Xenopus tropicalis: one gene and its partners. The main gene of each other region encodes a partner of the protein of the gene in region 2 in a complex. Links are inferred from orthologs where the notes say so. Each region holds a gene or a part of one and is shown on either strand. Other genes may lie near its edges. The genes, in order: tada2b, taf4 and taf7.

Evidence for each region.
Region 1: taf4 (region 2) and tada2b share a complex: the UniProt entries of both Homo sapiens proteins name them as parts of the TFTC-HAT complex. The link is inferred for Xenopus tropicalis from reciprocal best matches to the Homo sapiens genes TAF4 and TADA2B.
Region 3: taf4 (region 2) and taf7 share a complex: the UniProt entries of both Homo sapiens proteins name them as parts of the TFIID basal transcription factor complex. The link is inferred for Xenopus tropicalis from reciprocal best matches to the Homo sapiens genes TAF4 and TAF7.

Annotation. Positions count from the first base shown.
Region 1 is NC_030677.2:24,535,464-24,539,152, reverse strand, and holds the start of tada2b (transcriptional adapter 2-beta), read right to left. Parts: upstream 2,906-3,689; 5' UTR 2,813-2,905; coding exon 2,543-2,812; intron 763-2,542; coding exon 1-762. Other genes in the region: ccdc96 (coiled-coil domain-containing protein 96), read left to right, coding at 3,076-3,164. UniProt on the Homo sapiens protein: Coactivates PAX5-dependent transcription together with either SMARCA4 or GCN5L2.
Region 2 is NC_030686.2:4,375,517-4,379,171, reverse strand, and holds part of taf4 (transcription initiation factor TFIID subunit 4), read left to right. Parts: intron 1-82; coding exon 83-279; intron 280-778; coding exon 779-895; intron 896-1,804; coding exon 1,805-1,924; intron 1,925-2,013; coding exon 2,014-2,136; intron 2,137-2,705; coding exon 2,706-2,795; intron 2,796-2,888; coding exon 2,889-3,122; intron 3,123-3,655. UniProt on the Homo sapiens protein: The TFIID basal transcription factor complex plays a major role in the initiation of RNA polymerase II (Pol II)-dependent transcription.
Region 3 is NC_030684.2:37,699,951-37,703,549, reverse strand, and holds the end of taf7 (transcription initiation factor TFIID subunit 7-like), read right to left. Parts: intron 3,383-3,599; coding exon 3,215-3,382; intron 3,082-3,214; coding exon 2,969-3,081; intron 2,429-2,968; coding exon 2,369-2,428; intron 1,665-2,368; coding exon 1,620-1,664; 3' UTR 1,172-1,619; exon of another isoform or gene 974-1,171; 3' UTR 518-973; downstream 1-517. UniProt on the Homo sapiens protein: The TFIID basal transcription factor complex plays a major role in the initiation of RNA polymerase II (Pol II)-dependent transcription.

The DNA of each region.
Region 1 (3,689 bases), on a different chromosome or scaffold from region 2:
GTTTTCAATGGCAGCAAATTCACTCTCCTTACCGTCTTCTCTCCCTCTCTTGGAGCTCGCAGTGTTCTTATTTTCTTTCCTTTTCTCCCGTTTATGTCTGGCAGCCTCATATTCTGCAGATTCCTCCATCTTGGTAATGCCATTTCGGCGATACCTCTGCAGTTCCCGGATTTTAGCCCTAAGCATTCGCTCTTTGTGCATGTTCTCGAAAAAGTCCTCGATTTCCTTGTTTGACATAAACTGATACAGCGGCCTCAGTTTTAACCGGAGCTCCTTCTCCTCTTTGGAAATTTTCCGTTTGGCTGGTTTGTCTTTGTCCTTTTTATCTTTACCCAAAAAGGCAGGTACAAGATTGTAATCCCTAGCTATGTTTTTCCTCCGCTGCCTTTCTTTAAGTTTCCTCACATACATATCCACATAGGCTTCTTTTAGTTCTACTTCAACGTCATCGTCGTCGTAATTCACAGACAACCCACTAATTAGAGTCTCTGCGTCCTGGTCGTATTCGATTTCATAGTCATCTCGGAGTGGCATGTATCCCAGCTGCTGCTGATCTGCAACTGTCAAGTCTAAAGGAGGCAGCGGGGTAGTTAGGCTCGGGGACAGCGGACCTCCCGTGGGGCATGTGTGGTCAGTTACTCTGTTGGGGATACTGTCTGGAATGCACGCTTTCCCAAGGTTGCCATGAATATACATGGTGACGTAGTGTTCCATTACTTCTGTTGGTGTTCTGGAAGCTCCCACGTGTGCAGCCATATCCTCCTGAGAAGAAAAGGGTAACATCAACAAAAAACAGGCAAAAATTCAAACAAATATAAATTAAAATGATCAATTAAATCACTATGGTAATTGTATTGCACAGATGGGGAGCATGGGGTGGACTACCATTCTTCTACTGTGGGAGATGGTCGATATGAAGGGCAAGTCAACCTTTTCTAACATCCTACCAATGCCTTAGGCAAAATGAAACATCTTTCCCAACAAAATGATTCCTTTATATGCAGACTGTCGAGGTTGGGGTTGTTTTCTCTGGAAAAGAGGCGCTTGCGAGGGGACATGATTACTCTGTACAAGTACATTAGAGGGGATTATAGGCAGTTGGGGGATGTTCTTTTTTCCCATAAAAACAATCAACGCACCAGAGGTCACCACTTTAGATTAGAGGAACGGAGCTTCCATTTAAAGCAGCGTAGGTGGTTTTTCACGGTGAGGGCAGTAAGGCTGTGGAATGCCCTTCCTAGTGATGGGGTAATGGCAGACTCTGTTAATGCCTTTAAGAGGGGCCTGGATGAGTTTTTGAACAAGCAGAATATCCAGGGCTATTGTGATACTAATATCTACAGTTAGTCAAGAATGAAGAAAACAGCAGCACTCCGGTTGTTTTGAAAAATGTGAATCTTTACTAAGTGCCAAAGGCAACGTTTCGGGCTTCACTCCAGCCCTTTATCAAGCCTTGATAAAGGGCTGGAGTGAAGCCCGAAACGTTGCCTTTGGCACTTAGTAAAGATTCACATTTTTCAAAACAACCGGAGTGCTGCTGTTTTCTTCATTCTTGAATTTATCTGCCCGGGCAGTGGGTACAGCGTGCACCTGGGGCTGCAAGAAGCTATTTTCACTGTGTAAGCACATGTTAACCAATATCTACAGTTAGTATTACTGGTTGTATATATATGGTTTATGTATGTGAGTGTATAGATTGGTTAGTATAGGTTGTGTGCTGGGTTTACTCGGATGGGTTGAACTTGATGGACAATGGTCTTTTTTCAACCCTATGTAACTAATAGGCAAAGTATTTGCTTATTTCATTCCCAGGTTTAGCACATATTCAGGGATTGGCAGTGGTGAGTGAGAATCAGTAAGGTCAGTGCCATTTTTATAGGTACTATTAGCTGCTAATATGGTTAATTCTATGTACCTACACTGCTAGGCCTTCGCTAAAGGTGGACATCTTAAGTTAGGGGTAGGATATATCAGGCAGTTCCATTTGTGGGGTGGTAAGGAGGCTGTCAGACATACAGACTCTGTGAGGCGCCAGTTTGCTCTCATAGTAGCGAAGGCAACAGTCTGACACTGATCTATGCCTACTGTTACACCAGCAATTCATACCGGATTGGATAAGATGTAGTTGGGCCTCACAGCCCTAAGTCCCAAGTGCTCAATGTACCAGTGCAGAAAACCCCCTAACCCTCTAAATGCGTAATAGGAAAATCACATGAACACAGCTACCAACAATAACTTCCAAGGACAGGCCCTTATTTCTACCCTCTGTTCCCTTCTCTTACTCTATACTCACTGAGTTTAAAGGGAGTGTAAACCCCTAAACAGTAAAGGGAACTCTAATCAGTAGCTGCCCTTTTCTGCACTGCTGGTTCTGCCTCTTGAAACAATGTAGCAGGATTCTAAAAATAATTGTGGGTAAATTGGTAGTTAAACAAGGATAAATCCATCCATCCAAATCCCAGGAAATGATATCCCAAACGAACAGGTTGGATGCCATCGAGCAGCATCTACTCTCCCCTACTTGCCCATTGATTCTGCTCACCCAGTTTCCGAATCCAAATTGTTCGATTGCATCGAGCAGCAGCTGCTCTTCCCTGCTGGTCCAGCCTCCCTCTGCTTCGGGCCCCCATAGTGTGAATCGGCCGCCGTCTACCAGCTGGTAGCCGTGCCACCGGCGGTGATTGCCGATCTCTGCCCCCGCTGAGAAGCAGTCTGTGCATAGCTCGATGTCCTGACACTCGGTACAACGCAGACGCAGGCTGGTCACATCAGCTAAGCAGTAGACGCAGTACTTCTTGCTCAGGTCCGCCATATTGAGTTGTTGTTGGGGGACTCTGCAAACTACGCCCCGCCCATCGTTTCCCCTGTCCCGAAGCGCATGCGCCGCGCTGAGTAGGGTTGGCCTCGAAGCCCATTGGCTGAGAGCCTCCGGCTTTTGCGTAGCTTTTCATAAACCAATGGGAGTGAGTCACCATTGGCAGAAAGCCGCCAATGTGGTTGAATGAGTACCGCCTCTTAACGCCGTCGCCTTGGAAACCAGTAGTAACTAATACACCAGTTAGGTGACAGGGAGACATGGAGCTTGAGCCAACAGGGAGCAGCGATCCTGCTCTGCCCGACTCTGTGCAGGAGGAAAGGGATGCAGACACTGGAGTGAGAGAAAAGTGAGTGAGTGAGAGAGGTGCAGTTCTGCAGCAGCAAGTGTTTGGCTATCTATAATATAAACACTGAATAGCAAATAGCTGTACTGCAATATAGTGGGGCTAATTTATCAACACTTAGCAGATTTGCACATGGGCTGTCACCCATAGCAACCAATTAACTAGCCAGCTGTAGCAACAATAACAATAATTTGATTGGTTACCATGGATACTGGCCAGGTGTCCCTTCCTTCCAAAGTGGGGTCCCTGGCGTTTGCCCTCTTGAGCGGGGTAAAGGTGGCCATACACGGTAAGAAATCTCCACCTACGGGCGGGAGATATCAGGCTGATTGGTCGTTTGGCCCTGGGGCCAAATGATTGAATTATAACGGCGGGTATAGGCGCCGTCAGTTCGGGGACCGCATCAACGAGCCAATGCGGTCCCCAATACGACAGAAAAATCAAACCTGCCCAAATAGGGGCAGATAATTCTGCCTAATCGATCTAAAGGGCAACTAGAATCGGCCCGTGTATGGCCCCTTTAGTTCT
Region 2 (3,655 bases):
TACTAGGGAGGTGATTGGGTGAGAGTGCTGCAAAGGAAATGTTTTGCAAATCTGATTATTTTGTCTCTTTTTTTTCCACCAGGAATGGTCCTCGTGCGGAGTGAGAGCGGGCAGCTCCTAATGATCCCCCAGCAAGCCCTGGCCCAGATGCAGGCTCAAGCCCAAGCCCAGGCCCAAGCACAAGCCCAAGCCCAAGCCCAGTCGCAATCTCAGAACACCATGGTTCCCCGTCCTGCCACTCCAACCAGTGCCCCTCCTGTACAGATTTCTGCAGTGCAGGTAAGTGCAGTCAGACCGGCTCCCTCAGTGTTAGAGAGATACCATAACTATGGCACATAGGGATTCCCCTGTACTAAGCACAATTTCAGCAGGAACAGCCCCCTAAGTTTGCTCATAGCCTGTACAGAGAGATACCATAACACTATAGCACATAGGGATTCCCCTGTACTAAGCACAATTCAGCAGGAACAGCCCCCTAAGTTTGCTCATAGCCTGTACAGAGAGATACCATAAACTATGGCACATAGGGATTCCCCTGTACTAAGCACAATTCAGCAGGAACAGCCCCCTAAGTTTGCTCATAGCCTGTACAGAGAGATACCATAAAACTATGGCACATAGGGATTCCCCTGTACTAAGCACAATTCAGCAGGAACAGCCCCCTAAGTTTGCTCATAGCCTGTACACAGAGATACCATAAAACTATGTGATACTTAATGCCAATGTATTGCTGCCCTTGCCTTCCTGCCTAACTCCTCTTCCTGACATTGCTTCCCAGTCTCCAGGAGCGCCGCTCTTAGCCAGACAGGTTACACCAACTATCATCAAGCAAGTCACTCAAGCGCCAACAACTGTACAGCCCACCACAACACTACAGCGCCCTCCTGTTGTACAGGTAATTACTGCCTTCATGGGTTCATCCATTCTGTGCCCAGCTCTGCTTTAAAGGGGTGGTTTACCTTTCAGTTAACTTAGTATGTCAATACCAAGCAACTTTTCAATTGGTCCTTATTTGCCTTTTTGTTCAGCAGCTCTCCAGTTTGGGATTTCAGCAGCTGTCTGGTTGCTAGGGTTTGGTTTACCTTATCAACCAGGCAGTGGTTTGAATGAGATGCGAGGAGAGGGGACTGAACAGAAAGATAAGGATTAAAAAGTAACAATAAAATTGTAGCCTCACAGAGCAAAGGGCTTTTTGCTGCCGGGGTCAGTGACCCCCCACTGTAGATGTAGAAGAGGAAGGCAAATAATTCAAAATCTATAATAATGAAGACCAATTGCAAAGCTGCTAGGAACAGGGCATTCTACAAGATACTAAAAGTTACCTTAAAGATAAAACCACCCCTATAATTAACTGTTAGTAGGTTATAGAACGGCTTATTCTAAGCAACTTTTCAATTGGTCTTCATTATTTCTTTTTTTATAGTTTTTGAATCATTTGCCGCCTTCTGACTCTCTTCTGCTTTCAAATGGGGGTCACTGACCCCATGTAAAAAAAACCAAAGGCTTTGTAAAACTACACATTTGTTGTTACTGTTGCTTTTTACTACTTGTCTTTCTGTTAAGCTCAACTATTGATATTCCAGTCTCTCACTGAAATCAGTGCCTGGTTGCTAGGGTAATTTGCACCCTAGCAACCAGATGACTGAAATTGCAAACTGGAAAGCTGCTGAATAAAAAGGTAAATCGTAAATAATAAAAAATGAAATACAATTGTCTCAATATCATTCTCTACATCATACTGAACAACCCCTTTAAGGTTCCCTATGGTTTATTATTATTATTTATTTCTCTCTTCTCCCCACAGAACCAGATAGTGCTCGGCAGCACTGCACAAACTGCCACTTTGGGGACCGCAACTGCCGTGCAGACTGGTGCGGCTCAGAGACCTGTGCAAGGAGCTGCTACCCCTGCCGCAGCCACCACGGTACTGCCATTGCTTCTAGCTTCTTGGGGCGCACATACGTGCAGTCTGTATGACCGGACACTCATTACATGTTTCTATATGTCACGCAGGAAACCATGGAAAATGTGAAGAAATGCAAGAATTTTTTATCCACGCTAATCAAGTTAGCTTCATCGGGTAAACAGTCCTCTGAGACTGCAGCTAATGTGAAAGAACTAGTGCACAACCTCCTGGTAAGGCTTTGCCCCTTTGTACCATGCTGCTTCATGCTATTCATGTAAGAGTAATGTCACAATGGGCAGGACCAACCATGCTGCTTCATGCTATTCGTGTAAGAGTAATGGCATAATGGGCGGGACCAACCATGCTGCTTCATGCTATTCGTGTAAGGGTAATGTCACAATGGGTGGGACCAACCATGCTGCTTCATGCTATTCTTGTAAGGGTAATGTCACAATGGGCGTTACCAACCATGCTGCTTCATGCTATTCCTGTAAAGCTATTCATTCTATATTATTATTATAAATAATAATAATAATATTCATGTAAGGGTAATATCACAATGGGCGGGACCAACCATGCTGCTTCATGCTATTCCTGTAAAGCTATTCATGCTATATTATTATTATAAATAATAATAATATTCATGTAAGGGTAATGTCACAATGGGCGTTACCAACCATGCTGCTTCATGCTATTCATGTTAGGGTAATGTCACAATGGGCGGGACCAACCATGCATCAAGCATGAATGCATTACATCTTATATATCTTGTCTAAAAAATACATTTTTCATTTGGCAGGATGGGAAAATTGAAGCAGAGGATTTCACGAGTAGATTGTACAGAGAACTGAATTCTTCACCTCAACCTTACCTTGTGCCTTTCCTGAAGGTAAGCCCCGCCCCCGCAGGGAGGGACTTTTGAAAGCCGCCGCCCTCTCCCTGTGACTTTAATGCTTAATCTGTGCCCTCCTTCCCATTCCAGCGGAGCCTCCCTGCCTTGCGCCAATTAACGCCAGATGCAGCAGCCTTCATCCAGCAGAGTCAGCAGCAGCAGCCCCCCACGCAGGCCACGACGGCCCTCACCGCGGTGATGCTGAGCGGCTCCGTGCAGCGCACTGCTGGCAAGACCACCGCCACCGTCACTAACACATTGCAGCAACCGGTCATCAGCCTCACACAGACGGCCCAGTCCAAGCCGGGGCAGCCCACCCCACTGGTATGTACATCCACTAGCCCCTTTGTAAAGCAGTGCTATTCAGATGTTTTAGGTTCAAGCTCCCCTTTAATGTGTGGCCCCCTTGACTCATACAGGGTCCGATCCGCTCGTTTGGCCAGGTTCCCAAACGAGTGCATCATCTCCCAATATGGCCACCAAAGGTGGGTGATCTTGGGCTAATTCGATCGTTAGCCCCCAGGGTGGGCATATCAGGAGATGAGTCCTTCAGACCGATTCGGCAGATTATCTGCCCGTTTATGGGGTCCCCCCCAATCAGACAGGTTTCATTTTCCTGACGGATCGGGGTCCGCATCGGATGTGGTCCAATTGGAAAATCAAACTTGCCTGATCGTCGTCATGTTGGGGGTGCCCGTAGTACCCCAATCTGCCTATGTATGGCTACCATAAGCTTAGCCTAGGCAACCAATAAGTGTTCACCCCTTATCTCGCCATTATTAACCTTCAAGGTTGGCTTCCGCTGCAAAAAGGCATTCTTAAAGGGGTAGTTCACCTTTACAATAACTTTTTAATAT
Region 3 (3,599 bases), on a different chromosome or scaffold from region 2:
TTTAGCTCTATTTCATGCACTCAGTGCATAGCCATTAATGGAAGGATCTTATCTAAGCAAACATCTGGATAGCAAAACTGTGCTCTTGTTGCTCACCACACATACAATGCTCAAACCTGGTGTTAAAGCTTCATATACGATATCAGGAGCATAGCTGAACTTTACAGGGGCTCTTTATGTACCCTAAAAGACACTTGCTTCACATAGGGGAGGTTCCTAAAGAACATAGGGGAGGTTCCTAAAGAAACTATAATAAAAAAAAATGGAAGAAAACAGTGCTAATCCAGTCACATTATTGTACATGAATTCCATTGGCACTGGAGTTAGAATTTTTTGGTTTGAACAAATAATCATGAAAATGAAGGTGTGGGGGTTGTGATTAATCGTTATTTAAGGAATTAGGAAGTATTACAAGTATGTTTCTTCGCACATTGTATCCTTGAAAATTGTCCGTCTTCCCAGTAGCAAGCTGCCTGATGTAAAAATGGGTTTCACCACAAAGAAGCTAATCACAAAATTATGGGTAACAAAGACTTTTATTTGGATGGAATAATAGGTGGAGAAAAACAGACATGACAAAGTGTAAAATAATCATTTACAGTTCATCTGTAGCTGCCAATATTCTTTTTTTTTTTTTTTAAAAAAAAAAAGCAAAGTGACACTGCCTTAACACTAATGTTACGAACAAGCCATTCGTAAATGTGCTTAGTTCACAATGGGCTCTAACTCAAACATTTGGGTTCACAATCTGACCATAGTTGTTTGTAGGCATCAAAATCTTCCATATTAAAGAAAACAGCTGTTAGATAACAAAGGCAAAATTCTAATGTTTTCTCCAGAAAAATCCCAGCAAAACGGATACTTGTATACTTGTATACTCATAGGGGCGCATTTACTAATCCACGAATCCGAATCCTGAATGGGAAAAAATCGGATTGTAAATGAAAATTTTGCACCTTTTTCGTCGCCGTCGCGTTTTTTTCGTATTTTGCACGATTTTTTCGTCGCCGTCACGACTTTATCGTATTTTGTGCTACTTTTTCGTCGCCGTTGCAATTTTTCTTATTGAGCAATTGTAAACAGCGGAAAAACCAATCCGATTTTTTCACGACGGTGACGAAAAAGTCGCGACAATTCGCGAAAAAGTCGCGACGGCGACGAAACGCATTCGGACGTTCGTGGATTAGTAAATGTGCCCCATAGTGTAACGCACTGTTGGACTGGAAACAAACAGCAGGCAAATAGGTTAAATTATGAATACTGGGGTTATAATCCTTGCACCTTGAACATTCCAGTAAAAACGAAAAAAAATCATACATGTAAGGTTCTTTTGCTTATTTGGACTTTCTGTATTGTACAGCAGGCATTTAGTCACAGCACAAACCATTACAGGATCTAAACATCCTCAAGCAGTCACGTTCGAATGGCCTAAAGTAAAATATCTGTTTGGATGTATAATTTTCAGCACAAACAAAATTAAGGGAGACCCAGTCCTCATTGTTTCCTAAATGGAAGGATTTCCTCTGAAAGTGAACATTCTGGAGGATGTGGTAAAAAGCAGTACATCTACAGCAGGGAGGCCAAGTCATAAATATCAAGGAAACCACATCGGAACCTCTTTATTTCTCTATTAGAGTCTCGAGCTGCTCCTGCAGGGATGTCAGCTAGGAAAGAGAAGAGATTATCACAAGGACTGGTGTAAAATAGGTACTGCTACATTTGGTACACTTTATCACCTCCCATTACCATATTAACATTATAATATATTTACAAAAATAAACCATATAAATGGTACATTTATAATGCCTCTGGCTACAGAAAAACGGGCATGCACAAAAGAATAGCTATATCAAACTATGGGATTTAGCAAGGCAATGACAGAATAATAATGCTTGTGTGAAAGGAGAGACTGTTCTACACTATCCTTTTCTTCTATCTACTCCAGTAAAGTTTTAAAAGCATGGGCCAGCTTTTGATTCTTCTGACATCAGCTGGATACTGGACAACTGTGTAGAGATGCTGGCCCATACAAATTCACTGGGGGCCCTAAGTCAACTAGGAAAAAACAAACAGCCTCAAACAGTCTCAAGATGCACAGTCTGTCATCTTCTATTTTCTGTCAGTAGCGTGACTGTATGCATTTTTGTCTGCTTTTGGGGATACACACTGAGAATTACTGCACTTGATAAGCAATAATTCTCAGTCTCCCTGCACACAGTTAGCAAATAACAATGTCGCCAATATACAGCCATACTGCAAAACACAAAACAATGGAAAAAACTTGGAACTATGTCACAGCATTCATTTTGTCCCTTAAATAAGATAAATCTAAGCAATGGGTCACAGACTATAAAGCCATAATACATACCTGTTGCTTTTCTCTTTCCTCCTGCTGCCTAAACTCATCCAACACAGCTTGTAAGCGAGTCTAAAATAAAGAAAGAAAGTTTGTGTGAAATAGCTGCATGGCCAGATACAATCATCAAACTTGTATCAACCCATCTATAATAATCAACCAAAAACAGAAAGAGTAACTACATTCACCATCTTTCACACAGAGGGAGTGTGCCCAGACCCCTAGACCCCCATGGCCATTGTTTACATCCATACTGTATACCCTACAATCTTTGTTTGCCTGTAACTTCCAGTTTCTGGTATGCATTAGTAGTCTTGCACAAGGAGTGTGCCCGGCCCTTCTACTTCATGTGTATTTGAACATTGTGCTCAACCATTTCTCTTGCAAGGAGTGAATGCCCAGGTTCTCATATGCCTGGAAAAAATTGCTCTTAGACACTTCTTACATAAACAGGAGCCCTATCCTGTCCATCCTACCCTATCTTGCATGCCTACATAAATGTCACACACACATATTGCTAAACATAAAATGACCATAGTTAAGCATTTACTGAATCCACTTATATACATTTTCTCTCTCACACAAGGCAACAGTGCTGCAATCATGTGTTACCTTCAGTGCTACATTTTCAACCTTCATTATAAGCTCTTCTTGTCTTTTTCTTCTTTCCTGTGTCTCTCGCAGTTTCTTTTGTAAATTTTCCAGCTGTTTCTGCATCTCCAGAACTGATACATAGGGAAATGGGATATCATTAAGATCAACTTCCCCATAAGTTCTGCATTCTTCTCTGGCTAAAATATTACTTTCACTATAAAAAAAACAAAAAAAAAAAAAACTTGTGCTCCGCTATACTCTCACCAATCTGGTTAGTGCCTCCCTTTTGACCATCCTGTCCTGCCCTCTGCTCCTCCTCAGTCTCCATGATATTAAGATCTTCTTCTTCCTGGCGTTCTCCCTCCTCTTCTTCTCCATCACTGCTACTACTGATGTCATTAAAGATCTGACGCAATTCTTCCCTCTCCACTGCTGGAAAGAGAGAGACATGTTGGGAAAGACAAGTTAGAGCTTAAGATGGAGGGAATAAGAATAATTTAAAAAAGCTAATTAAGAACATAAGAATATAAGCTCATATTTAATGGATGTTTGCAGAGGAATGTGGAGCAAAATAAAAAAGTGTGAAGAGGACCATAAAAGGGCTGGGTTTAGTTAGAAGAAAATCTAGCAGCAGGCAGCAGGTCAGATT